Mus musculus: one gene and its partners. The protein of the gene in region 1 interacts with the protein of each later gene in a pairwise test. Links are inferred from orthologs where the notes say so. Each region holds a gene or a part of one and is shown in the gene's direction. Other genes may lie near its edges.

The links.
Region 2: the proteins of Pde4dip (region 1) and 9930104L06Rik interact in binary tests that used the Homo sapiens proteins (3 or more experiments, as listed by UniProt). The two-hybrid records come from large-scale screens. The link is inferred for Mus musculus from reciprocal best matches to the Homo sapiens genes PDE4DIP and AIRIM.
Region 3: the proteins of Pde4dip (region 1) and Ccdc146 interact in binary tests that used the Homo sapiens proteins (3 or more experiments, as listed by UniProt). The two-hybrid records come from large-scale screens. The link is inferred for Mus musculus from reciprocal best matches to the Homo sapiens genes PDE4DIP and CCDC146.

Annotation. Positions count from the first base shown.
Region 1 is NC_000069.6:97,697,276-97,705,070, reverse strand, and holds part of Pde4dip (myomegalin), read left to right. Parts: intron 1-1,652; coding exon 1,653-1,904; intron 1,905-2,703; coding exon 2,704-2,835; intron 2,836-3,393; coding exon 3,394-3,513; intron 3,514-5,086; coding exon 5,087-5,276; intron 5,277-5,837; coding exon 5,838-5,962; intron 5,963-7,795. UniProt on the Homo sapiens protein: Functions as an anchor sequestering components of the cAMP-dependent pathway to Golgi and/or centrosomes.
Region 2 is NC_000070.6:124,933,943-124,941,837, forward strand, and holds the start of 9930104L06Rik (uncharacterized protein C1orf109 homolog), read left to right. Parts: upstream 1-3,105; 5' UTR 3,106-3,391; intron 3,392-4,497; 5' UTR 4,498-4,500; coding exon 4,501-4,775; intron 4,776-6,423; coding exon 6,424-6,603; intron 6,604-7,895. Other genes in the region: Cdca8 (borealin), read right to left, coding at 2,413-2,541, 2,647-2,740. UniProt on the Homo sapiens protein: Part of the 55LCC heterohexameric ATPase complex which is chromatin-associated and promotes replisome proteostasis to maintain replication fork progression and genome stability.
Region 3 is NC_000071.6:21,420,258-21,428,152, reverse strand, and holds the start of Ccdc146 (coiled-coil domain-containing protein 146), read left to right. Parts: upstream 1-3,475; 5' UTR 3,476-3,588; intron 3,589-7,895. Other genes in the region: protein FAM185A, read right to left, coding at 2,577-2,985. UniProt on the Homo sapiens protein: Essential for sperm flagellum biogenesis and male fertility.

The DNA of each region.
Region 1 (7,795 bases):
TCTGTATGTGTAACCGGAGGAAACTGGATCACAAAGATACCAATCACTGGTACCAATGGACTTAAAGCCTCTCTTGGTCCTTGCCTTGTTTAGGGCTACGGTAGCATCAGGTATGAAAGGAATAGGAAATCTTATCTTTGTTAAGTCCCCACTAAAAAGTATAAATGCTGAAATCCTTAGTCTCCTCTGCTTTAAGCCTAATGAGTGACTAGAATAACGGGAGAAGGAAAGGCCAACCACAATACTTCTCAAAGTTACAGCTTGTTAAAATCTCCTGAGATGACTTTCCTAAATGTCCAGTGCTCAAAATGCATCTTACACCTATCTGTGGTAGCCCAGATGTATGTGTGTGTGTGTGTGTGTGTGTGTGTGTGTGTGTGTGTGTGTGTGATTACCTTAGGCGATTCTAGCAGATGTGAGAACTAGTTCTAATTGAGGATGAAAATCTGTCAGTAGCAGTTGTAGTTGTACCAATCTTTGCCCAGAGTCTGATATGCTTGGAGGAAATGATGAATGGCCTCAATCCTGTTTGCTTAGAGGGAGCTGCCTGTCTACTTTGCCTGTGTTGATAATCATTGGAAGAAATCAGCCTTCCACACTGAACTATGGCCCTGTGCATCCCTCTGCACACACACACAGCCCTTCCCCCCACCCCCCCACCCCCCCACCCCCGCCCCAAACATTCCTTCCCTGTTCTTGGCTTTAAAAAACAGAACTAGTAATCTAAACCCTGCATAGGGGCCCTCCTTTCAGACACTGCCTAGATAGATCAGAAACAGGCTATAAAGGACATCACCTGAACTCCTGCCTCTTCTTACAGTGCTCAACGAGAGGCCTCATTTTCATAGGGTCTTTGAAAGCGTCATCCTAGGGAAGAGGAGGTCCCGCTGCCCTCCTTAGGATGAGCTTGATGGTTCGTTAAGTCAATGGTCTTTATCCTTTCTAATACATATGTGACCCCCAACCATAAAATTATTTTCTTGCTACTCCATAACTGTAATTTTGCTACTGTTATGAATCATAATGCAAATGTCTGATATGCAACCCCTGTGAAAGGGTTATTCATCCCCAAACGGGTTGCAGTCCACAGGTTGAGAGCCATTGCTTTAAGGTTTGATGGCCGTGGAGGGGATCCAGATCACAACTTTTCTTATACAGGAGGTTTTCCAACGTGAACAAAGAGTTCTTCAATCTGGAAAAGTCCTATCCCCTGTCTCCCTGAAGGAGGCACGGAAAAACCAACTGGTTAGCGTTGGGCAAAGGCAAGCACAAGCAAACAGATGCTACCACCTGTGGGTGTGCCCAGTCAGATAGCCCATCACATTCTTAATCCCTAACTATGGGATGTCTCCTACTTCCGGAACTTTCCTGGATTCGATCATGAGGAATAACAGTAGGAACGAGGAATGGAGCCCCTGGGCTTTTCAGACCCTCCTCTGGGTGTCTCCTGCTCAGAAATGCAGAGGGTGAAAGTCAGGCTTGAGGCTTTGAGTCTTCATCTAACCGATATTCTGTGATGAACTGGGGTACTAACCTCCCCCTGCCCCCTCCCCGACCCCGTGTCCACTGCTAGTCTCCATTCTCAGCCATCTCGATTCCCTTACCGCTCTTGGCTACTGATACCCTCTCTCACTGTGTTTCTATCTGCCCAGGTGTTAGCATTGCCCCTCCCGCCTCCACATCCACGCTGCTCAGCAACCAGACTGAAGCTAGCTCTCCCCACTACATCAACCCTGCCCAGCCCCACACTCCGACAAGGAGCACCATAGAGCTGGGACGAATCCTGGAGCCTGGATACCTGGGAAGCAGCGGCCAGTGGGACATGATGAGGCCCCAGAAAGGGAGCGTCTCTGGGGAGCTGTCCTCAGGCTCCTCGATGTACCAGCTTAACTCCAAGCCCACTGGTAAGGCACAGAGCTGGGACCTTCTCTCCTCGGTCAGGAAATACATAGAAAGGATACAACAGTCTCTACCCCTCATACATGCTCTATGCACAAAATCCAGTCACAGCAGATAGAAGAGCATAACTATGGCAAAAAGCACAATGCAGCCCGGTCCCAACAGCAAGAAACTGAATTTCCAAGAGAAAGCCAGAAGTGAGTCAGTTCACTTGTAACCTAGCAGTGCTGCCTCTCCTGGGTCCTTCGGGGTCCTAGAACCATGCAGGGGATTCCTTCTTCCTGCCTGACTAAAAGTGACATGTGAAAGCATCGAGCATCAGTCCTTAGCTACGATTGGTAGGTTGAAGGCATGTGGTTTTTACCTTAGGTCTTTTTTCTAGGTGGGAAAGAATGGATTTTGCTAAAAGCTATTGAGTAGCTTATCAGGAAAAGGAATTGGAAAAAAAAAAAAAAAGGCAGTAAGGCCTTCCTTTTCACCCCCAAAACCACACCCGAGAGGTGGATCCGCCTTTCCAGATGGCAGTTGGGCTCAGTTAGATCTGTCGGTTATTTTCTCAGTGATTTGAAGCCCCCGTTCGCCAAGAATGGAGGCCCGTGGGCTTTCCTTAGCAAGAGGCCACCCTATGGTCATGAAGCTCCTGTGTCACTAAGTGGAGCTGATTGACTGTGTGAAAGGACACTGTGGGCAAAAGGAAGGCGACATTGGGGGACAGGCTGGGTTGTCCACTGGCAGAGCTCACCTCACCCTAGTAACCAGCCTTGTGTCTCCTGCTTCTGCCCTGTCCGGGGATGATGGCTGCAGGCGCTGACCTGTTGGAAGAGCATTTAGGTGAGATCCGGAACCTGCGCCAGCGCCTGGAGGAGTCCATATGTGTCAATGACCGGCTGCGGGAGCAGCTGCAGCACAGGCTCAGCTCCACTGCCCGAGAAAACGGTAGGCAAGGCCACTAGGCAGAGCCTCACGCTTTTCTAATCAGTCCGATACTCTTTACTGGATTGTCACAGTCAGGCGAGGGTTGGAGGGTATGGAGAGCCGTTATTTCTGCTGTGCACTCTGAGCTCAGAGACTGACTTTCCTCAGACAAAGATCTGGCCTCTCGTCCTTAACCTGTTTATATGCACTGTGTCCTTGTGATTGATAACCAGTAGAGGCAGGTCTATGAAGACCCACCCCCGACCCACTTCACTCAGGAGGCCATTAGTCCCTACCTCCCCCATCCCACAAGATGTTGTCATTTGGATGTCACTCTTTGTATATGCAACTGCTCATTCCTCCCCAGCTAGTTAGGAGACGCGTCCTACACTGATATAATGGGTACAAGTGCTGGGTGCACACAAAGACGGCATGGTCTGAAAACACACACACACTGCTCAGCATCCAGCCATTATGCTCAAGTTAATCCCAGGCCTTGAGGGCTGGAGCTTGCTGCTGGGTTGGGACAGCAGATCTTTGAGGGGATGTAACATGGGACGTGTGTGTTGTCCGGGACAGGTTCCACCTCTCACTTCTACAGTCAGGGCCTGGAGTCCATGCCTCAGCTCTACAATGAGAACAGAGCCCTAAGGGAAGAAAACCAAAGCCTGCAGACACGGCTCAGCCATGCTTCCAGAGGTAGGTTGTGTAAACCCAGACTTACAGTCCTCCTAGGACTATCTCTATCCTCGCCAGGGCAATCACCAGTTGGAAAAAGCAAAGAGAAGGTTTAGTTACCAGCCCAATATTTACATTGCTAATCTGTCTTCAAAGGGCTACTCCCAAGGCAGTGGTTCTCAACCTGTGGTTCAAGACCCTTTGAGGAGGGTCAAGTGACCCTTTCATAGGGGTTGCCTAAGACTTTTAGAAAACACAGACGTTTTATGATTCATGACAGAAGCAAGATTACAGTTATGAAGTAAAAACAAAAATAACTCTATGTCTGGGGATCACCACAGCATGAGGAACTGTATTAAAGGGTTTCAGCATTAAGAAGGTTGAGAACCACTGCCATAAGAGATCCTAACCCTCGCCCTCAGGCTCCTAGGTTCTAAGACAGAATGGCTCTAGGAAGGTTATCCCTTTTGAAAGCCTGCCTATATTCAATAACAGTGCCTGACCGGTCAGTTTGGAATCCATCCCCTTCTGTCTGCTCACACCTGATTGGAACCATAAAACCAGAGAGCATGCTTGTGTGTATTTTCTCATACAGCCTCAAATAAGTACAGCTCTGGACAGCTGTCTGGGTCCTGTTCTGCCATTCCTCTGCCTTTCCCTACAGTCCTCTTCAGGCTGCTCTCCGGCGGTCCTCCTATGGTTCCATGTTCTCTAGAACTTTCCCAACCCTACTTAATGGTCATCTATAAGTGGGCATTATTGCCTATGTGGCCTGAGAGGCAAATTACATAGTATTAGTTGACTTGATTAAATCAATGTATAACTAGTAACAAATGATTTTTATTTACAAAAAAAATCTACTTAATGGCCATTAAAAGACTAAGAGCGATATATCAAAGGATTAAGTCCAGAATGAAAGAATCCTTGTGGAGGCAAAAGACGAGAAGAACTATTTCTAAGGAAACTCCTTAGTACTTTTGTACTAAGTCAGTTCAGAAAGACATGAGAGGCAGGGCCCTTGCTGGAGGATGACTAAGACTGCTGGATGAGGGCAAGGCAGAGAAATTAATCTACCAGTGCATGCTGGGACAGAGGAGGGCAGCCTCACAGATAGGAAATAGTAAGAGTTCCAAATGAACACAGTTATACCCAAGGACTGGCCTTATATAAAGAGTCCCTACAGATCATCTTTAAGAAGTTTTGACCAGAGAGGTATCACATGGCCAGAAAACACCAGCTGTCCACATTTTCAAAAGAATTGAAAAAGAATATGTTCTAAAAACCACAAACAAGAAATCAGTGCTGGTCTTTGATAAGACTGGAGGTGTACAGTTGAATAGCTGCCCACGAACACCTAGAAAACGCTGAGCTTCGGGAACTCGCTGTCTCCTCTAAGAGCTAGGGCAGGTGTTCTTAAATGGAGGGTCAGATACCACAAACACCACTGCCACCCAAGCCCCAGTACGTAGGGTCCACTAAGCCAGACTGCTCGGCCACACGGGACCTTCCTTCCCCTGGCCTCACGTGTGCTTGGGTTTGTCTTTCTCATGGGCTTCAGGCCATGACATAAATACCCCTGTGTCCCGCTCATCAGGACACTCCCAGGAAGTGGATCACCTGCGGGAGGCTCTGCTCTCCTCCAGATCCCAGCTTCAGGAGCTGGAGAAGGAGCTGGAGCAGCAGAAGGCTGAGCGGCAGCAGCTCCTGGAAGACTTGCAGGAGAAGCAGGATGAGATCGTGCAGTTCCGAGAGGAGAGGCTGTCGCTCCAGGAAAACAACTCCAGGTAGGCAGGGCCTTGATATGGAATGGCCCGGCTTCTCAGTGCAGAAGGGATATTGACAAATCAGTAGTTTCCTCCTTTGGGAACTTCAGTTCCTTCTTTACTCTTCTGCCTCACTGGTCACTTGGAGCAAAAGGAAGACTCTATTTGAGACACACACACAAAAAGAGAGAATAGTGTTTTTATAGTATGAAGTAGAGTGATAAAATCCTATTACAGAGGTTTCCATCTGTCAGAGACTGGCAGGAGAGCAGTCCCACCCTTCTCACTAGATGCATGACATCACTCTTGCCATAAACTGCAAGTTGTTATCCCAGTGGAAGCCCTGCATCTTTCTGTCAATGTGGAGAGCACTGTGGGGCAGAGAGGGGCTTGTAGTGTGCTTACACTGCTGCCTGCACACAGAGCTAGTGTTCCAACTTCAGGCTAACTAACTTTACCTGCCCCAGAGTCTGCCAAATGAATGTGATGGCCAGGCCATCCTACCAGGCCAACTGAGGCAAAGGTTGGCTCGAGGCTCATTTCTCCCACTTGGCTCAGTAAACCCTTGCCTCTCCTTGGCAGGCTGCAGCACAAGCTGGCCCTCCTGCAACAACAGTGCGAAGAGAAACAGCAGCTCTCCCTGTCCCTGCAGTCAGAGCTCCAGATCTACGAGTCCCTCTGTGAAAATCCCAAGAAGGCCTTGAAAGGTATGAGCCCCCATTCTCACCAAAGCCCAAGGGTTGACATGAGCAGATCAAGCCTGGGTACCCTTAAGGACAGACTGAAAGATCACTTCACCCACTTAATAAAAAAAAGCAACTTAATCAGGAGCAAGATTATAGCATGGTTTATATAAAGAAATACCCTAGGGCTGTCACCATCTGAAAGGATCCTTACCTGTGCTGAAGGACAGACCATGACAGCCCATACCATCAGCATCTATCCCGCCTCCCTTCCCCAAGTGGAGAAACCGACTCAAAACCAAAAGAAAGGAGAGGTAAGAAGTCAGGGCAGTGGGAAGGGAGGCTGCTGCCACATAGAAAGCCTAAAATTCAAGACCAGAGTTTACTTTCCAGGAAGACGGCTCCAGAGTTTTAAGATGCTGAGTCTATGGAACATACTAGAGTCAGGACTTAGGAGACCTCCAGTCTGGGAAGAATTTTGGATAAATGTAGCAGTGTTTTTAGATCAAGAGACAAGGTCCTACTGTGGAGATAAAGGACAGCAATAGCCATGCTAATTCAGAAGGGGGATAGCAAATAAGGCCCCAGCCCTGGGCAGAGGACCACAGGCCCTAGGGAAGAGTGCATCACCTGGTTATCCACCATCAAATGCTCAGCCCAGAAAACACAGGAGTGACATTATAGGGACTGAGCAGGTGTGTGTGTGTGTGTGTGTGTGTGTGTGTGTGTGAAACAATTAGGCCATGAGCTGGAAGGGGGTGGTTATATGGTTGAAAGGGAAGGGTGAAATGATATAATTTCAAAAAAATTTAAAATTGTGATAAGAGATATGGTACAACTGGAAGATAAGGGCAATGAATGCTGGGAATATTTTTTTCAAAAAACAGTCAAAAGTTAGTGAGAACTTGGAATGAGAGGAAGAGAAAACACACTAGAACCTTCATCCATGAAGCTGCTTCATCATGACCACCCTTCCCCTGCACCACACACACACACACACACACACACACACACACACACACACACACACACACTGGGTTTGTGTATCCTTTTCATGCTGTGTTCTGTTAGTGCATGGGCCTTCCTGAGTTCATTTCAAACCAATTACTACTAATTCTTCATTTGAATTCCAAAATCCAGCAAGGTAGCTAAAGCTGCAGGCTTTTCCTGTACTCATTTGATGACAAAGCATTCCTGAAGAGGTGGGAGGACAGCCAGTCTCTGTCTGCTTAGACTGTCCACGTAGCCGGTGACAAAAATAATTATGTGTTGGGCTAAGGCCTGAGGGCTGAGGGCAGCTGCGCCCTGCAGGTAGTTGGAGGTATAGATAAAGTCTTGGTAAAATCCAAAACTAATTCTGCCCTTCAAAATATAAGTGGCTCTCAGGTTGGACTGTTGATTAGATCTTTTTATCCTTCCATATCAAATGCGTGTGGTAAGTGGTGAAGAGAAATTGAAACTTCACTTAGGAATGTTGAGCCCAGGTCTAAGACCTGACTGACTTCCCGTGTTTTGTCCCCAGAAGCCCCACGTGTTCGGATTATCCTCCCTGCATATGGAATCCGTCAGTTGTCCTCCCTCGACCTTCACTCCTTTTTCGTTCAGTGCTGACCTGCTTTCTAGCCTGCAGTACAAAGTTTAACAGGGAGATGACGCAGTAGGCATATTCTCACCTGCCAGTCCAAACGCCTCATGGGCACACATGACTAATCTGACCCTCAGAGAAATCCCAGGCTAGTTATATGCAACCTTGCTGTGCTCCCAGGGCTGAATGAGAAGGTTGTATCCCACAGACGTGTGGCCAAGCCCCTGAGACTCCAGTGGGACCCTTGGCAGAAAGGAATGTCACAGAGCAAT
Region 2 (7,895 bases), on another chromosome or scaffold:
TCTCTCTGAGCTAGTAGGCTCTCACCTCAGCATCTGGCTCCCAAGTCTTCATAGGGAAAATCAAACTATTGAGATTTTGTTAAATCAATAAGCCTGGTCTAGAGAATGGATTCCAGGACAGCTGGGGCTACACAGAGAAACCCTGTCTCAAGAAAAAGACAAAAACAAAACAAAACAAAACAATGACCACAATTTAAAAAAAAAGACAAAGAACTCCTCATGGAATCCAGGGTCTACAGTTAAGATCCTGGGCCTTACAGACAGAATGATGGGGAGCAAACAGACTCTGCCTCCATATGTGAGAACCTGAGTAATGTATCTCTCTGGGCCCCAGTGTTATCCTCCTAAAACTGGCCTATTTGCCAGCGTGGTGGCACATGCCTTTAATCTGAGAACTTTGGAGATAGAGGCAGGTGGATCACAAGTGTGTTCAAGGCCACCTTGATTTATATAAGAGTTCCAGAATAGCTGGGGTTATTAGGGCTGCAAAGAGAGCCTGTCTCAAAAACAAAACTGGCTCATCCTATTAATGCTTATTCAGTTCATACTTACTGGCTGCTACTCCCATCTTGTTTGTCGTACTTTATTTCTAAATTCTGTATGAATTTTTAAGCGGTCCTTCTCCACTACCCCTGTGGTGGGACAATGTCTGCTTTTCCTAGGTGCATCTTTAGTGCCTAGCCTAGTGAGTGACACTTAACTTTGTAGAAATGAATGAACAGAAAGATTAATAAGGCATGACAGAAGAATTTTGTTAGCAAAACATGCACTTGTACCTAGGAAGGAGGAGGCACACTGGTAGATATAGTGATGAGGAAGGCAGAGGAAGCAGCTGGAGAGAAAGGAGCCTCCATGCTTCCTCAGGGGTTTCACAAATGGCGGGAAATGGGCTGACATTTTTCTCTGGTCAGAAAACCACTCTTATCTTTTTTTTTTTCTCCTCAAGACAGGGTTTCTCTGTGTAGCCCTGGCTGTCCCGGAACTCACTTTGTAGACCAAGCTGGCCTCGAACTCAGAGATCCACCTGCCTCTGCCTCCCAAGTGCCAAGATTAAAGGCGTGCACCACCACTGCTCGGCTATGATTATCTTGTTATGTTCACCTGGCTTTGTTTCAGAAGGAGACTAACTTGTTCTGCTTATGTTCTGCTTCTGTAACCCCGCCCATTTTGCTTGCTAAATCCCCCATTTGAAGACGCACCCCCCCCCCACCCAACCACTGAGCTGTAAGAGACTTGACTTCCTCACATCCAATGCCGATCTCTCAAACCCAGCCGTAGGGGGAGGCAGCCTGCATACACTAATGAAAACGCTTGCGTTAATTTATTTGGCCGTGATGATTTGTGATTTGTCTTTTGTTTTTGTTTTTTATTTTGGTTCTTCGAGACAGGGTTTCTCTGTATAGCCCTGGCTGTCCCTGAACTCACTCTGTACACCAGGCTGGCCTCGAACTTAGAAATCCACCTGCCCTGCCTCCCAAGTGCTGGGACTAAAGGCGTGCGCCACCACTGCCCGGCCTACTCCTATCTTTGTAGTTCACAAGACAGAGCTGTTTGAGGATACTGTCCGAAATGAGCTCTGACAAAAAACAAATAATTTTTCTCTTAATTTATTCATTCATTTTAGAAGGCTGAGTTTGTACAAGTATTTCCCGGATGTGTGAAAATTATGTGAAATTGACATTTCAGTTTGCCCAGAAATCAAACTCATCACGGCTCTTTTGGAACTGTAACAGAAATGCAGTTCCAGAACTCAAGACTGTTTGTTACCTGGCCTGCTAAGGACAGTGGTTTGCCTACCACTGGCCTGGCTGGATGGCAGGCAGTTTCCAGTGGGGCTGAGCAGTAGGGTCTCCCCAAAAGATGGATGTGTTCTCCCAAAACACTCCCCCTGGATACAGAGATGCTGAGAAGACATGATGCGTCCTGCTCTTACAGTCCTCTCCCTCCGCTGTTAAGCTGCAGGACAACTCTTACTGTCCTACTGAGCGACTGCATCCCTGCCTATTGGCAGGTAGGCTAGCATAGGTTAGGTCATGTCAGTGCGGAACAGCCTCCCCCAACCCCTGAAAAACCTTCAATTATCAGCTCACTTTGTACTATAGATTTGAGATCTCGGCCTCGCCCCTCTTCCTTCAGGCCTCCATCATTCTATTTCTGGTATATCTCTTCTAAAGCTCTCCCATTCAAACGTGAAGGTGAGATGCACTGTCCTAATAGCGCTCATCTGAAGGGTAATTCATGCCTACTTCTTTCCTATGGGCCCACCATTCTTTTATAAGTTATGACAGATGGCAATTTCCTACCGGTGGTTATTTTAGACCTTATTAAGAAGGGGACATCTGAATGAGTCCCTACAATAAGCTTTCAAGATAAGCACTCGTTGGTCACGGGGAAAACGCTAGCAGCTCTTACCGAAGTAGTCAAGCCACTTCATCCCTTGCAGCGCCTTGGGGAGCCGAAGGATCTCGATGTTGTACAGATTTTCCACCTCCTTGAGGAGGGTCTGTCTGTCGGACTCAATTTGCTTGGTTCGAACTTGCACTGCAAAGAGGTGAAAGCGGACGGATCCCGCGTCAGGTGTGCGAAGCCGTCGCATCCGCGTCCCAACCCACCCAAAACCCACGATCACGCGAATCCACCCCTTACCCTCGCGGTCGAAGTCCTTCAGGAAGGAGGCGAGCTTCCGGCTCCGCAGCGTGTTGGTCCTGGTTCCGCGGCTGCTGCGTTTCTTGGGAGCCATGGCGCCTGGCTGCGTCGAGCGAGGGGCCAAGCAGCCGGCTCCGCGACTGAGACGGGGAGAGGGTGTGAGCGGTCGGAGAGCTGAGAAAGTTCAGTCGTTGGAGTCTAGGTTTCCAGAACTCTGCCGAAACCTACCTGCAGGTCCCAAAACACAGTCTGAGGAACCCTCACAGCTCCAACTAAGGGACGGGCGGCTCCTCGGTTAACCGCCACCCAATTCAAACTCAACGGGCACAGCCTAGCCAATAGCAAATCGCCGTCTTAGGACGGTTCTCACCACGCCCAATCACAATAAAGCTTCTTCTCCTTCCGCCAGCCAATCCTCATGGAGGACTTCAATGCCCAGATGTCATTGCGGCACACGCCATCTTTTCGCGACTCCAGAGTCGTGCTAACTGGAAGTAGAGTGGTGAGTTCGTTCTTGTGAATAAGCGCGGTGTAGTTTTTGATGTACTCAGCGTTGACATCGCAGGATTTACGTTTTCCTGTTGATTTAGGGCTGGAAATCTTAAAGAGAGGCGACAAGACTGACTCCAGAAGCACAGGTCCCGGAACAGACAGACCCCAGAGACTCGCAGTCTAAAGCAGATTGCCCTGTCGTGAAGAAACCCCTTCGGAAGACCCGAAGCAACGGTCTTCCTGCAGAGAGAAGGTAAGAGGACCGCCAGAATCAATATTCTTGAGTGTCCGCGGTTACAAGACAGAGACACAGCTCCACTCTGCAGCGTGGGGAGTTGCCCTAGCCTTTTAAGGACTTGAGCTCAGTTGATGGCCCTGACGCTGAAAAGAACTCAGCACTAGCTGAGCTCAGTTGATGGCCCTGACGCTGAAAAGAACTCAGCACTAGCTGATTTATGAAGCAGAGTTACATGAACATATTTGCTACGGGGCCTCACCATATAACGCTGGCTATCTTGGAAGTCTCTGTGTATACTAGTTTGGCCTCGAACTCACAGAGATCTGCTTGTTTCTGTCTTTCCAGTGCTAGGATTAAAGATGCATTCGACAACTCCCAGCCTATGGCTGTTTTAAATACAGGCATAAGCACAAGAATTAAGAGAGAGAGGCAGGCACCTAGGCATAAAAGACACTTGCATGCTCCTCAGAGAATCTCAGAAAGTTAGACATAGCCACGTGGGTATGAGATTCTCTAGGGAGATCAGCAGTTGATTTTCTTTCTTTTCCCCCAGTTTCTTGAGACCAGGCTGGCCTCAAACCCAAAACCCGGCTCTGCTTCCAGAGGGCTGGAATTAAAGTCATGTTACATTAGCCACAATTACTTATTTTGGTGGCTTTCAGTTTACATCTCAAAAGGGTTTCTAAAAACCCTTGTGACTCCCTTCAAACAAGAAGTTGTTTGATAAGAGAAGTAAGTGAGGTGGCTTTCAAGATTCTTTGATGGTATTAAATCCTACAGATGTAAATGGGGTAGTGTGTGTCCTTTCTCTGTAAATGGGATTCCTGGTGAGATTTCTAGAACATGGAAGATTTACAGCAGGAAGGAAGAAAGGCTGTTCACAGTTGGTAAGTGTACTTGCAGGAATTCTTCCTTCATTGTTGGCTGAAGGTGTCAGCCCACTTCCAGGACTAGGAGTTCTTGTTTGTGTCCCCCAAAGTCTCCCTACCTTTCATTATTGCCTTGGGACTATTTGAAGACCAACAGCTGGTCTTCTCCTGAGGTCGGAAATGACGCAGCCTTGATGCAGGCCCTCCCTTCTGGTACCCTGACTCCCTTTTGTTTTGTTTATTTTTTCCCAGAAAATGGCTCATGACCAGCCTCTGCTGGTTGTGCAGGAGGCCCTGAGGAAGTGCTTCCCTGTGGTGGAGGAACAGCAGAACCTGTGGCAGAGCACCCTGCAGGACTGCTCGCCCCTCCTGTCCTCTCTCAGTAACCTGGCTGAGCAGCTGCAAGCCGCACAGAGTCTGCGCTTTGAGGATGTGCCAGCCCTGCGTCCCTTTCCAGACTTACAGGAGCGGTTGAGGCGCAAGCAGCTGGAGGCTGGTGACGTTGTTCTGGACAAGCTAGCTGAGCGGCTGTAAGAGGCTCTGTTGTCCCCCTTTGTTGATGGACAGATCTTAATGCCGCATGGCATCCCAGCCTCAGTCAGGGGGTCCTACAGAAATCGACAAAAGCAAGTCAGGAGTAATCATGCTGGAGCTAAGTTGAATGTCTGTGAGTTCGAGGCCAGCCTGGACTACATTGTAAGACCATGCATGTCTTTAAAACAAAACAAAACAACCCAAATCAGGCCAGGTGTTTAATCTCAGCACTAAGGAGGCATATACAAGCAGATCTCTGAGTTCAAGGCCAGTCTGGTCTACATAGAGAGTTCCAAGGCAACCAGGGCTACACAGATAAACCCAGTCTCAAAATAAATAAGTAAGTAAACAAACAAATAAATAAAAATAACCCCAAACCAACTAAATAAATGGAAGAAATTACAAAAGCAGAAAAGAAGAGGGTGGCGAGGAGTGCAGCCCTCTTCTGTCGTTGTCCTTGGTGTACTGCAGTTCAGGGAGAGCTGGGAGTAAGGACTGTGTGTCCGGGACCTTGTACACCTCTGCCTTATACCTGTCTATGCACTTGGAAGCAAGAAAAGGGAAACTCAAACTGATTGTCCTGATCACAGAGTCCGTGAGAAATAGAGCCAGGAATCTGAAGTGGGCCTGCCACTTAAGCTGGGGCTTCTTACCACCACCTGGTTCTACACACAAGTGGATACATGTGTAACTAAGTAGCCCAAGAAACAGTAACAACACAGGTGTTACACAGATACTCTGTTTTCTGCTTTTTTTTTTTTTTTTTTTTTTTTTTTTGGTTTTTTTGGAGACAGGGTTTCTCTGTATAGTCCTGGCTGTCCTGGAACTCACTTTGTAGACCAGGCTGGCCTCGAACTCAGAAATCCGCCTGCCTCTGCCTCCTGAGTGCTGGGATTAAAGGTGTGCGCCACCACACCCGGCTTCTGCTTGTTCTTGATGTTAGTCATCGACTATAAGCAGGTCTTACACACTTGAGGATTTTGGATTGTTTCCTGTTTTTACACCATAAGCCACAGTAGGATATTTAGAGCTAGCGTTCTGGGCTAGAGGATCCCTTGTCCATTGGGAAGTTGCAGCCTTTGTTTTAGTGATGGGTTCCTTAGAGTCAGCATTCGAATACTATGTAGCCACTGCCAAAGGCACTTTACACACATCATAGTATTTATCTTTCCAGTGACAATTCATTCACTGATTGTGTGTTTGCTGTTCTTGGGAAACACAGTGAGCAATGAAGCCTTTATGCACAGGGGAAATAACTCACATTCTCAAGCAGTCTGTGCATGTCGAGCCCACATTGCCATTGAAGAACTGGCCAGACAAGGGCAGTTAAGATGGCTCCTGGGGTAGAGGCACTTGCCGTGTAAGCCTGATGACCTGGGTTCAATCCACGGGCCCATGGAAAGGTGGAAGGACAGAGTGGATGCCACAAAGTAGCCCTCTGATCTCCAAGCATACTCTGTCATGTGCATGCCCTTCCCTCATACTAAATTAACAAGGGTATAGCTCAGTGGTAGACCGCTTCCCTAACACGTCTAAGGGTTTGAGTCCCCTCTGAAACAAAACTTAACAGGACAGTAGTGGTTTGAGAAGGCTTACCCCCTATCTTTTTTTAGGATACTGCCTAACACCCTCCTTTTCCCACAGAGCCACCCTCCTCAAGGTCCGTAACACCATCAACAGCCACGTGGAGCAGGTGTTTCAGGCCTACGAGCAGCATGCGGCTGTGCTAGACATTGACACCGTCCTGCGCCCCTCAGTTGTGAGCCCCTCTGTGGCTGACATGTTGGAGTGGCTGCAGGACATCGACAGACATTATGGAAGCTCATATCCTTCGAGTGCTTCCTGACTGACTGCCCAGAGCCGCCCCTAGAGGCTGCAGCAGGTGCAGACTTCACAGGGTCAGCAGGCTGTATAATTCACAGGGTCAGCAGGCTGTATAATTCACAGGGTCAGCAGGCTGTATAATTCACGGGGTCAGCAGGCTGTATAATTCACGGGGTCAGCAGGCTGTATAATTCACGGGGTCAGCAGGCTGTATAATTCACGGGGTCAGCAGGCTGTATAATTCACGGGGTCAGCAGGCTGTATAATTCACGGGGTCAGCAGGCTGTATAATTCACGGGGTCAGCAGGCTGTATAATTCACGGGGTCAGCAGGCTGTATAATTCACGGGGTCAGCAGGCTGTATAATTCACGGGGTCAGCAGGCTGTATAATTCACGGGGTCAGCAGGCTGTATAATTCGTTGCAGTTCTCTAGTGCTCAGACTTGGATTCTTCTTGCACTTGTCTTTTGTTAACTAGTCATTCCTTAGAGTTTATTTATCTGCTAGGCACTACTCTTAAGTGCTGGGAGCAGGCATAAAAAGGGGGACTGCATAGTGTCAGATGTGGTGAGTGTTAAATAAGGCAGAGAAGGTGAGGGGGAATGTGATTTTAATAGTGTGGTCAGTGCAGGGACCCATGAGGCAGTGACATCCTGAGACAATGATGCTCACAGCATTTGAGCCAAGTTTGCAAGAGGGAAGGAATGAGCCATGTGGGTGTTTGGAAGAAGAGTGGTCCAGGCAGAGGCTACATGGCGTGAGCTTGTCTGGTACATGTAAGAACTGCCATAAAGCCAGTGGGGGCAAGGGCAGGGCAGGGCCGGGCAGGAGGAGAGTGACAGAGGGCCTTGATTTTTGAGAAGGATCTTGAAGGTTTTGGCTGTTACTCTGAAGTCAAAGTTCTCAGAAGCTTTAAGCAGAACCATGTGGTCAAGGCCTGTGCTTAACAGTGCTGTGTTCTGAAGAACAGTTGGCATGGCGGGAAGCAAGCCTGAGAGCAGGAAATTAGCCGCAGTCCTGACCTTTTCTCCATTCGTGCCCATGGCTGTCATCTGACCCTGGTTTTGCTCCTGGTCTTGAGTCTCAGTTTCCTGTGCTGCCTCCAGCTGGCTCGCTTAGTGAACTCCAAATTCAAGTTTAAAGCTGAACATGGACCAGCAATGCCCACTGTGTTACTGATTTTCATGTTGTGATTAATATCGAACACGAAGCAGGACAGACAGATTTATTTCAGGTCATAGCTGAGGGATATGTCCGTCACGGAGGGAAGCGCACAGAGACAGGAGCTTAAG
Region 3 (7,895 bases), on another chromosome or scaffold:
AATACAGAAGTGGATGCTCACAGTCATCTATGGGATGGAGCACAGGGCCCCTAATGAAGGAGCTAGAGAAAGTACCCAAGGAGCTAAATGGGGTCTGCAACCCTATAGGAGGAACAACAATATGAACTAACCAGTACCCCCCAGAGCTGTGTCTCTAGTTGCATATGTAGCAGAGGATGGCCTAGTTGGCCATCAATGGGTGGAGAGGCCCTTGGTCTTGCAAAGATCATATGCCCCAGTACAGGGGAATGCCAGGGCCAGGAAGCGGGAGTGGGTGGGTTGAGGAGCAGGGCAGGGGGGGAGGTTATAGGGGGCTTTGGGGATAGCATTTGAAATTTAAATGAAGAAAATATCTAATAAAAAAAAAGAAGAAAAAACAAAACAAAAAAACCCCGAGTGATAAGGAGAATTAAAGCCACAATATTGTGGATAAATAAGAGTGTATTTAAAGAAAATTTGGAAAATAGGGATTGACCAGGTGGCCTTCTCAGCTGTAATTTAAAGTGTCACTTTAGATATCTCCTTATAAAAACAAAATAATTGCTGGGCACTACAGTGCACGCCTTTTATCTCAACATTTAGGAGGCAGAGGCAGATGGATCTCTGAGTATAAAGTCAGCTTAGTCTACACTGAGTTCCAGGATAGCTAGAGCTCTGTAAAGGGATTCTGTCTCCAAAAAAAAAAAAAAAAAAAAAAAAAACCAGCAATAACAAAATATTAAAGAGTGACTACGACTATGCAATTGCATTAATATTAAATTTCCCTTAAGCTGGAGTACAGAAACAAAAACTACTGTCATGTGACCTTGGTTGATCAAACACTGACCAAAGTCATTTGGTGAAGGAAAGGGTTTATCTCCTAACTTACGGTCCATCACGCAGTGAAGTCAGGACAAACTCAGGGCAGAAACTGAAGAGGAGATCACAGAGAAATACCGCCTTGCTCTCCAGGAGTCTCTCAGCTTGCTTTTTTTTTTTTAATATAACCCAGGGTCAACCCGTGTGGTTGGGCCCTCCCATATCAACCATTAGTCAAGAAATGCTTCTTGATTAATGCAGACTTGCCTACAGGCCAATCTGACAAAGGCATTTTCTCAATTGAGGCTCCTCTCCCAGGTGATTCTAGGTGTGTCGCGCTCACTACAAACTAACCAGCACAATTATGTTCCCCAAAGCGCGTTGTTGGGACCCACTGCCACAACTTTAATCATTACAGTATAAGTGCCCTCCACTGCTTGGCACTGGGTTAAATCAGCAACATGCACTGAGAGGAACTGAGAGTGCATGAAAGCCATGCACTGACACAAGCAGAACTGCCTGCCCACCTGAGCCTTGTCATATGGCAGGAAACAAGGCAGAGCTGACAACTATACAGGTAAGCGAAGGGATGCTAAACACACTCTGTTGCTGGGAAGGAGGGCGGGGAATTAAGGTTAACACAGGAGTAGTAATGGGACATCCACTGGGACACTCTATCACAAGCTGGAGGAACAACTATCAATAAAATCAGCGATGTAGATTTGAGGGGCCTATGGAATCGAGGCAGTACCCTGAAAATAAGCCCCTGGCTTTAAAAAGAAGCAGTGAGGTAATTTGGGATCGCTGGGAGAGGTAATACCCATCTCAGAGAGGCTGTTTTAAGTTTTGCCTCTCTCTCCTTTGACTCCCATTTTATTCTGCACTGTGGTAAAGCCCCACCGGCACTTCAGAGTATTAAAATTTGGAGGCACTGTCTCTTATTCATTTAGGCTAGTTAGAAGTTGAGAAGCAACGAAGCCTAACAGCTCACATCCTAGCCCTGCCTACTTGTATTTAAGGTGGAAAGACACCTAAGGAAGCAAATTTCATAATGTCACCACGCACGGGGCCTTTGTTTGTTCAGTCACAGTATGTATCTTATACTTCCTTTACTTCAATGTCCTCATCTGAAACGGTGACAAAAGCATCCACCCTACCGAGCAACTGTGAGGGTTAATATAAAATAATTTTAGAAGAGGTAAACGGTGCTATTGCTATCATCAGCAACACCATCCTTCAGTTCCAGGAAGAATGAGAGCCCCAGAACCCTTTCTAGAAAAGTATGTGTGCTCAGCGGTTTGCATCTGGGAAATAAAATAACGGGACTCAGATGCCTAAGAAATACGTTTTGCAGGTACTATTATGAATTTCCCCAGACAGTCTTAACTATGTGTCTTGCTTCAAAGTTTGTATTCGCAGAGAATTTACTTATGCCTAAATGAATAGACATCTACCAACCTGGGTACCTGTTGGAAAGCAAGGTTTTTTGTTCGTTTGTTTTTGTTTTTGTTTTTCTAGATTAGCTGGAAGCATCTATACATAGAGCTGACGAGGGACCAGAGCCCCGAGATGTGGGCTACCAAACCACTGGATAGTTATCAAGAAACCTCAACCCTGAACGATGCTAATGACTGTGATGCTAATGGCTCCACAATGTAATTAGACTCAGATTATTCCAATACAAGCTTCCACTCGGCTTTAATTTTCCTCCTTAATTGGAAACCCAACGCTTAAACACTATTAGTTTTGTGACCCAAACCCTTTTTCACTTCACTTGCCAAATTTGACGGGCGCGTTCACCTCCACCGACGCCTGGGGGTCGATGTCGTCCGACAGAATGGCCATCTCCTGCCGATCAGCATCATACTTGACCTGCAGGCTGTCCAGGCCGCGCGCCACGTGCTCCACGCCGCACACCGCCACCTGCACGCGGTCGCCATCCGGGTGCGCAAGGGGATCCAGGGGCCTCACGGCCAGGTGGCAAGGGAGCCGCGCCCTCAGTCGCCCAAACGGGCTCACCTGCAGCGTCCACTCCCTCAGAGCCCCACGCGCCAGGCCGGCCCCAGAGTCATCGGGCGCTGATCCCTGCCGCTGCGCCCCACTGGAGCCGCAAGTCCGAGCCCCGAGAGCTCCGACCAAGGCGCCCGCCCGCACTCGGGACGCGCAAGGAGGGAGGCGGCCGAACATGCTCTCCCTTGGAACGCTTCAGCCTTGGCTCGCTGGTCCCGGGACCACAAGAACCACGAGCTGCCTCGGGTCAGTCACGAAGGGGACAGCATGCACGGCTCCGCCAAGGAAGAACGAGCCAGGCCCCCAGCACAGTACTTAACGCCTTAAATCCCGGTAGGAAAGTTAAAACTTCAAAGAGCCTAGTTGAAACCCTGACCTGGACAAGTCACCTATTTCCGCCCCTTTGGCGGAGGCCATCGGGATATGTAGTTTTAAAGGAGCCAAACATCAAGGTGTTCTGGTAACTGTGAAACTACATATCCCAGGAGACAGTGCGCTGAATACACAGACTGACAGCCGATTGGTAGAGGAGCCCCCGCTCCCCCCTCGTTGCTTTCCCGTTGCTTCAAGCCCATTGGCCAAGAGAGCAGAGAAAGAAAAAAAGTTAATGTAACTGACCAATAGGAAGAGTAGAAGGGACGGGATAAACTCAGCTGTGGTTACTTTGGATACCAAGGACGCGACTCTTAGGAGAGGGTGAAGTTTTGAAGTGAGACCCCAGGGACCAAAACACACGGAGAAAAATAAGAGTTTAAACAAGGATCAGGACCAAAAGAAAGGGTAAGAAACAGCATGTTTATAGATGGGAATCAGATTCAAAGTTAGGAATACTTTCTTTAGGTAGTTAGAACCAAAGGTCACCAAACTAATGTGGATTCCCTGGGAATAGAGAATCCCCCTCACAAGAGACCTTAGCATGAGAGGACAGACACGTTCTGTTGCTTTCTCCCTTCTCTGTCCTTTAAGGGAACTCCCACTTAGGTAAAAAATACTAGATAGAAAAAGTGTTAGAAGCCAGGTATGGTGGCGCACGCCTTTAGTCCCAGCACTCAGGAGACAGAGGCAGGTGGATTTCTGAGTTCGAGGCCAGCCTGGTCTACAGAGTGAGTTCCAGGACAGCCTGGGCTATACAGAGAAACCCTGTCTCGAAAAAGAAAAAAGAAAAAAAAGGAAAAGAAAAAGTGTTAGAATTCTGGCTCTTTCTTAACTGTAAGTAGTAATCTTAGGCCAGTCATTGGATGCCTTTGGGTTTTACTATTTGCTTATAAAATGATGACACTATCTTCCTTGTCTTGTGTAGAAGTTTTTTTTTTCGTTTTTACCACATTTATCAAATGAAACAATGGACAACAAAGCAGTGCACAGTATACAAAACAAAGTATTTTAGGAATGGCATATGTCTACGTTGCTAAGAGATTTGGAGACATTTGAACTTGGTTAGAGGACAGTCTTGATCTCTTTCCCTGCAACTGGTCCTTGGCCTTAATGGTAAAATAAAATCTCTCTCTCTCTCTCTCTCTCTCTCTCTCTCTCTCTCTCTCTCTCTGGATCATAAGACTTGTTAGGGGATGTCAGAATTTTTTCCTGGTCCTGTTGTATTATCTATGGCACAAGAAATGTTTCTTCAGTTTTGATATAAGACAGACTGTGCTAAATAACTCTATAAGTTAACTCTTTTTTTTATTATTCAGTAGGCAGTAAAGATAATGGGAAATGGGGGGTGTGGACATTATTTCAGCCATATTTGCCTATTCTTCTCCCCATTCTACAAATAATTCCCTAAATTCCTTACATACAGATTTAACTAATTGCAAGTCCAGTGTGATGGTGTTCACTTGTAAGTTTTCAGAGTTTGGGAAGCTGAAGCAGAAAGATCTCAAATCTGAGGCCCACCTGGACTATATACGGAGAACGTTGTGACAAATAAAATACACAATAAGTAAATAAAATGATACCTTTAAAGATCAAAACTCTCAGCCAAATATGGGACCCCAATTCTTTGAACCTGAAGTGACAGATGGATAGATAGACTAGGCTAAAGTCCTCCCCAGCGTCCATGTTGTTCTCTTAGTGAAGACTATGGTAGTGGTGGTGGCAGTGACAGCCCTGCCCTGCTGTCAGCCATCTGAGAAGAAGGCCCCTATCCTTGAGGACCTCCACCAAGGTGAAACCTGTCCTTGACTTTGCTGGAAAAAAAATGTTGGGAGAAGCTAATGTGAAAGAGGGTTGATTTAAAATAGATTTTAAACAAGGGTTTAAGAGCACAGGGGTTGCTAGAGGTGACTGATCACACAGGGAGAGAAAGAGACACACCCAAGAGCACAGGTGTAAGCTCCCTTGAGCTTGCCCTAAGTGACTTAGCAGAAGTGCTCCAGAGTCACTCTTTTGCTGACTCTCATGTTATGCCTCAAAGGATTTCTCTAAGAAACTTCTTTAAAACCTTTCTCTTCTTCTTCTTTTTCAATAAGTGAGATTATAGGATTACTCTAGAGATGTCTTGGATTGGGTTACAGTCCTAAAATAAAACTGTGTGTCACAAGAATTGTAAAAGGGAATTAAAACATGTCCTTTACTAGAAGTAGGGTTTTGGGTAAGATTTCTAGAAAACTGTTGGTTTATAGCTGAGAAAGAAGAAAGAACACATATATTTAGGCCTTACATGTGATCCATTGCTCCTTCAACAATGTAACTTGAAAGTATCACTATGTAAGAGACTGGTGATCCTCATCGATAATGTTGACAGCTGTGTTAGAACTCTTCATCTTCAGCTGGTGAGACACACTGGTCAGGCTCTGGAATGAGGGCTCCTTTTATTCCCAGTTCTCCATCATGTTCCCGTGTTTCTCTCCTGCCTCAGTAGGCTATAAGATAGACTTTATGATAAGCAAGTGCTCACTCAGTGAGTAGCGCCATTGGCTTTGTGTCCCATGTGGACGTACGTACTCAGACGAGCCTTCAAGTTATCTTTTTTAAATGAAAACCCAAGAGTCATACTTTGACATTTGAAAGAGGCACAAGCAAGTTGAAACTGCGCTCTGATTTGCTGTGGACGTGCTGCATATATTTGGGCCGAATATGCATCCTTAATAAATCATCCTGTTCCTATAGTCACTTTTCCTTTTCTGAGGAAAAATAACTTAATAGAACTGACAACTGAGCCATCATGATATCTGTGACACGGTCATTATTTCATTACTTTCAAGCAAAGGAACTAAAACGTACTGAAAGACTACCTTCCTGCTTTTATGAGGGTGGAACCCGAGAATCTGGTAGAGATTAAGAGTGACGTAAGATATTAGTTACCAATGCCTAACAAGCTAGTCAGTATCAAACTTGTCTACCTGTAAAAGTGAGTGATATAGTTTTCAAAGTATGTTCCCGTGTACCATCTCACGGTTTTCTCACAAAAAGCTATTAAGAAGGATAGTTATTCTTCTCCCTGCATGACAGCTGAAGAAACAAGATTCAGAAAAACAAGATGAAGCCATTATGACCCCCAAAACTGTGGTTCTGGGGGGATGAGAGCATTAAATTACAAATGTACAAGATTTTTTTGTTTTGTAGGACTACTTATTAATAAATTATTTCTCTGCTGGTGAGATGAGCCAATTCAACCCAGATTAGATTATATTAAATTCCGGTTTATTGCTCTTGGGTGGGCAAGTTCATTGACCCCAAGGAAGGGGGAGAGAGGGAAAGAAAGAGCACACACACACACACACACCACACACACACACACACACACACACACACACAAACACACACACACACACACACACACACACACACAGAGAGAGAGAGAGAGAGAGAGAGAGAGAGAGAGAGGAAAATGTCTGGATTATATAGGGAAGAGCCCCTGGGGGAAGGGCAGCCCAGCCCCTGGGCTGCAAACTTCAGGGGTGGAGGCAGGATATGCCAGGAAGGGACTGAGGGATGTTGGGAGAACCTGGAGGCCACATCTGCTTTGATATGTTAAAATATGCACCTCACTCCCTTGTCTTGGAGTCTGAAGCCAAACACTTAAAAGAGTTTGAAATAATTTAAAAATCTAAGTGCCCCTAAATGAGAGAGTAATGCTTAAATAAATTTTATATTTGTAATATTATAAAGAAATCTAAAAATAATATCCTGAAATAATCCATAATATAATATTGGGTAATAGAGTACTTAGTAACCTTTGTGTATTAGTTCAATCTCAATTCTGTAACGGCAATAATATATTTAATATAGAATTACATCACAGAAACAATTCCAGAAGGATGCACACCACCTTATAATGATGGCTATCTATCTCTAAGCCACGAGGTTAGATGATTACATCATTTGCATGTTATCAGTAGTGATCATGTTTGGCATTTTTAATGAAGAGAAACAGTAAGGCCTTCTTAGTGTGTACTGTTGCCTAAGGCTGTCTTAGAAATGTAGGGAATTTCTTAGCATCCAAACATAAATGCAGTTGTGTAGAGAATCTCCTACCAAATCAATGTGAAAGGTGGTGACTTTGTTATTACTTTATGTTCAATTCATGGACAGCAGAGGGCAGAAGAGTTTTCAGAAGAAAAGGTAATCAGACCAAGGATTAAGTAGCTCAGTTAAAGGGATGAAGGCCACCAAACTGTGCTCGATTCTGAATTACAGATAATGTTTAAAACAAACAAAAAAACTTCTGCAGTTTCTGTTATTCTTATAAGACAATAATACACTCAGAAACCTAAGAGCTATCACTTCTGAGAATATATAATGAATACGCAGGTGGACCCACTTGGAATCACCTTGTGAAACTGCCAGGCTAACCATACCTGTGAATTGTGAATCAGCTGAGCTCGCTGGCCAATTTAAAACTTCAGGGGAAGCGTTTGGCATCTCACAGTCAACCGTGATGTTGGCTGCACAATTTTCCAATGCCCCTTTGAAGATATTTAACTCCTGGTTTACTTTTTATTTGAGTGATATTATATTTTAAATGATTTTTTCTGTTTGTATTGAGATGACCAGATGGTCGTTTTGAAATGGACTGTGGTGTGGTGATATCTCAGAATAATTTAAATATTGAACCATTTTTCCTTCCCTGGATGAGCTTTAATCAT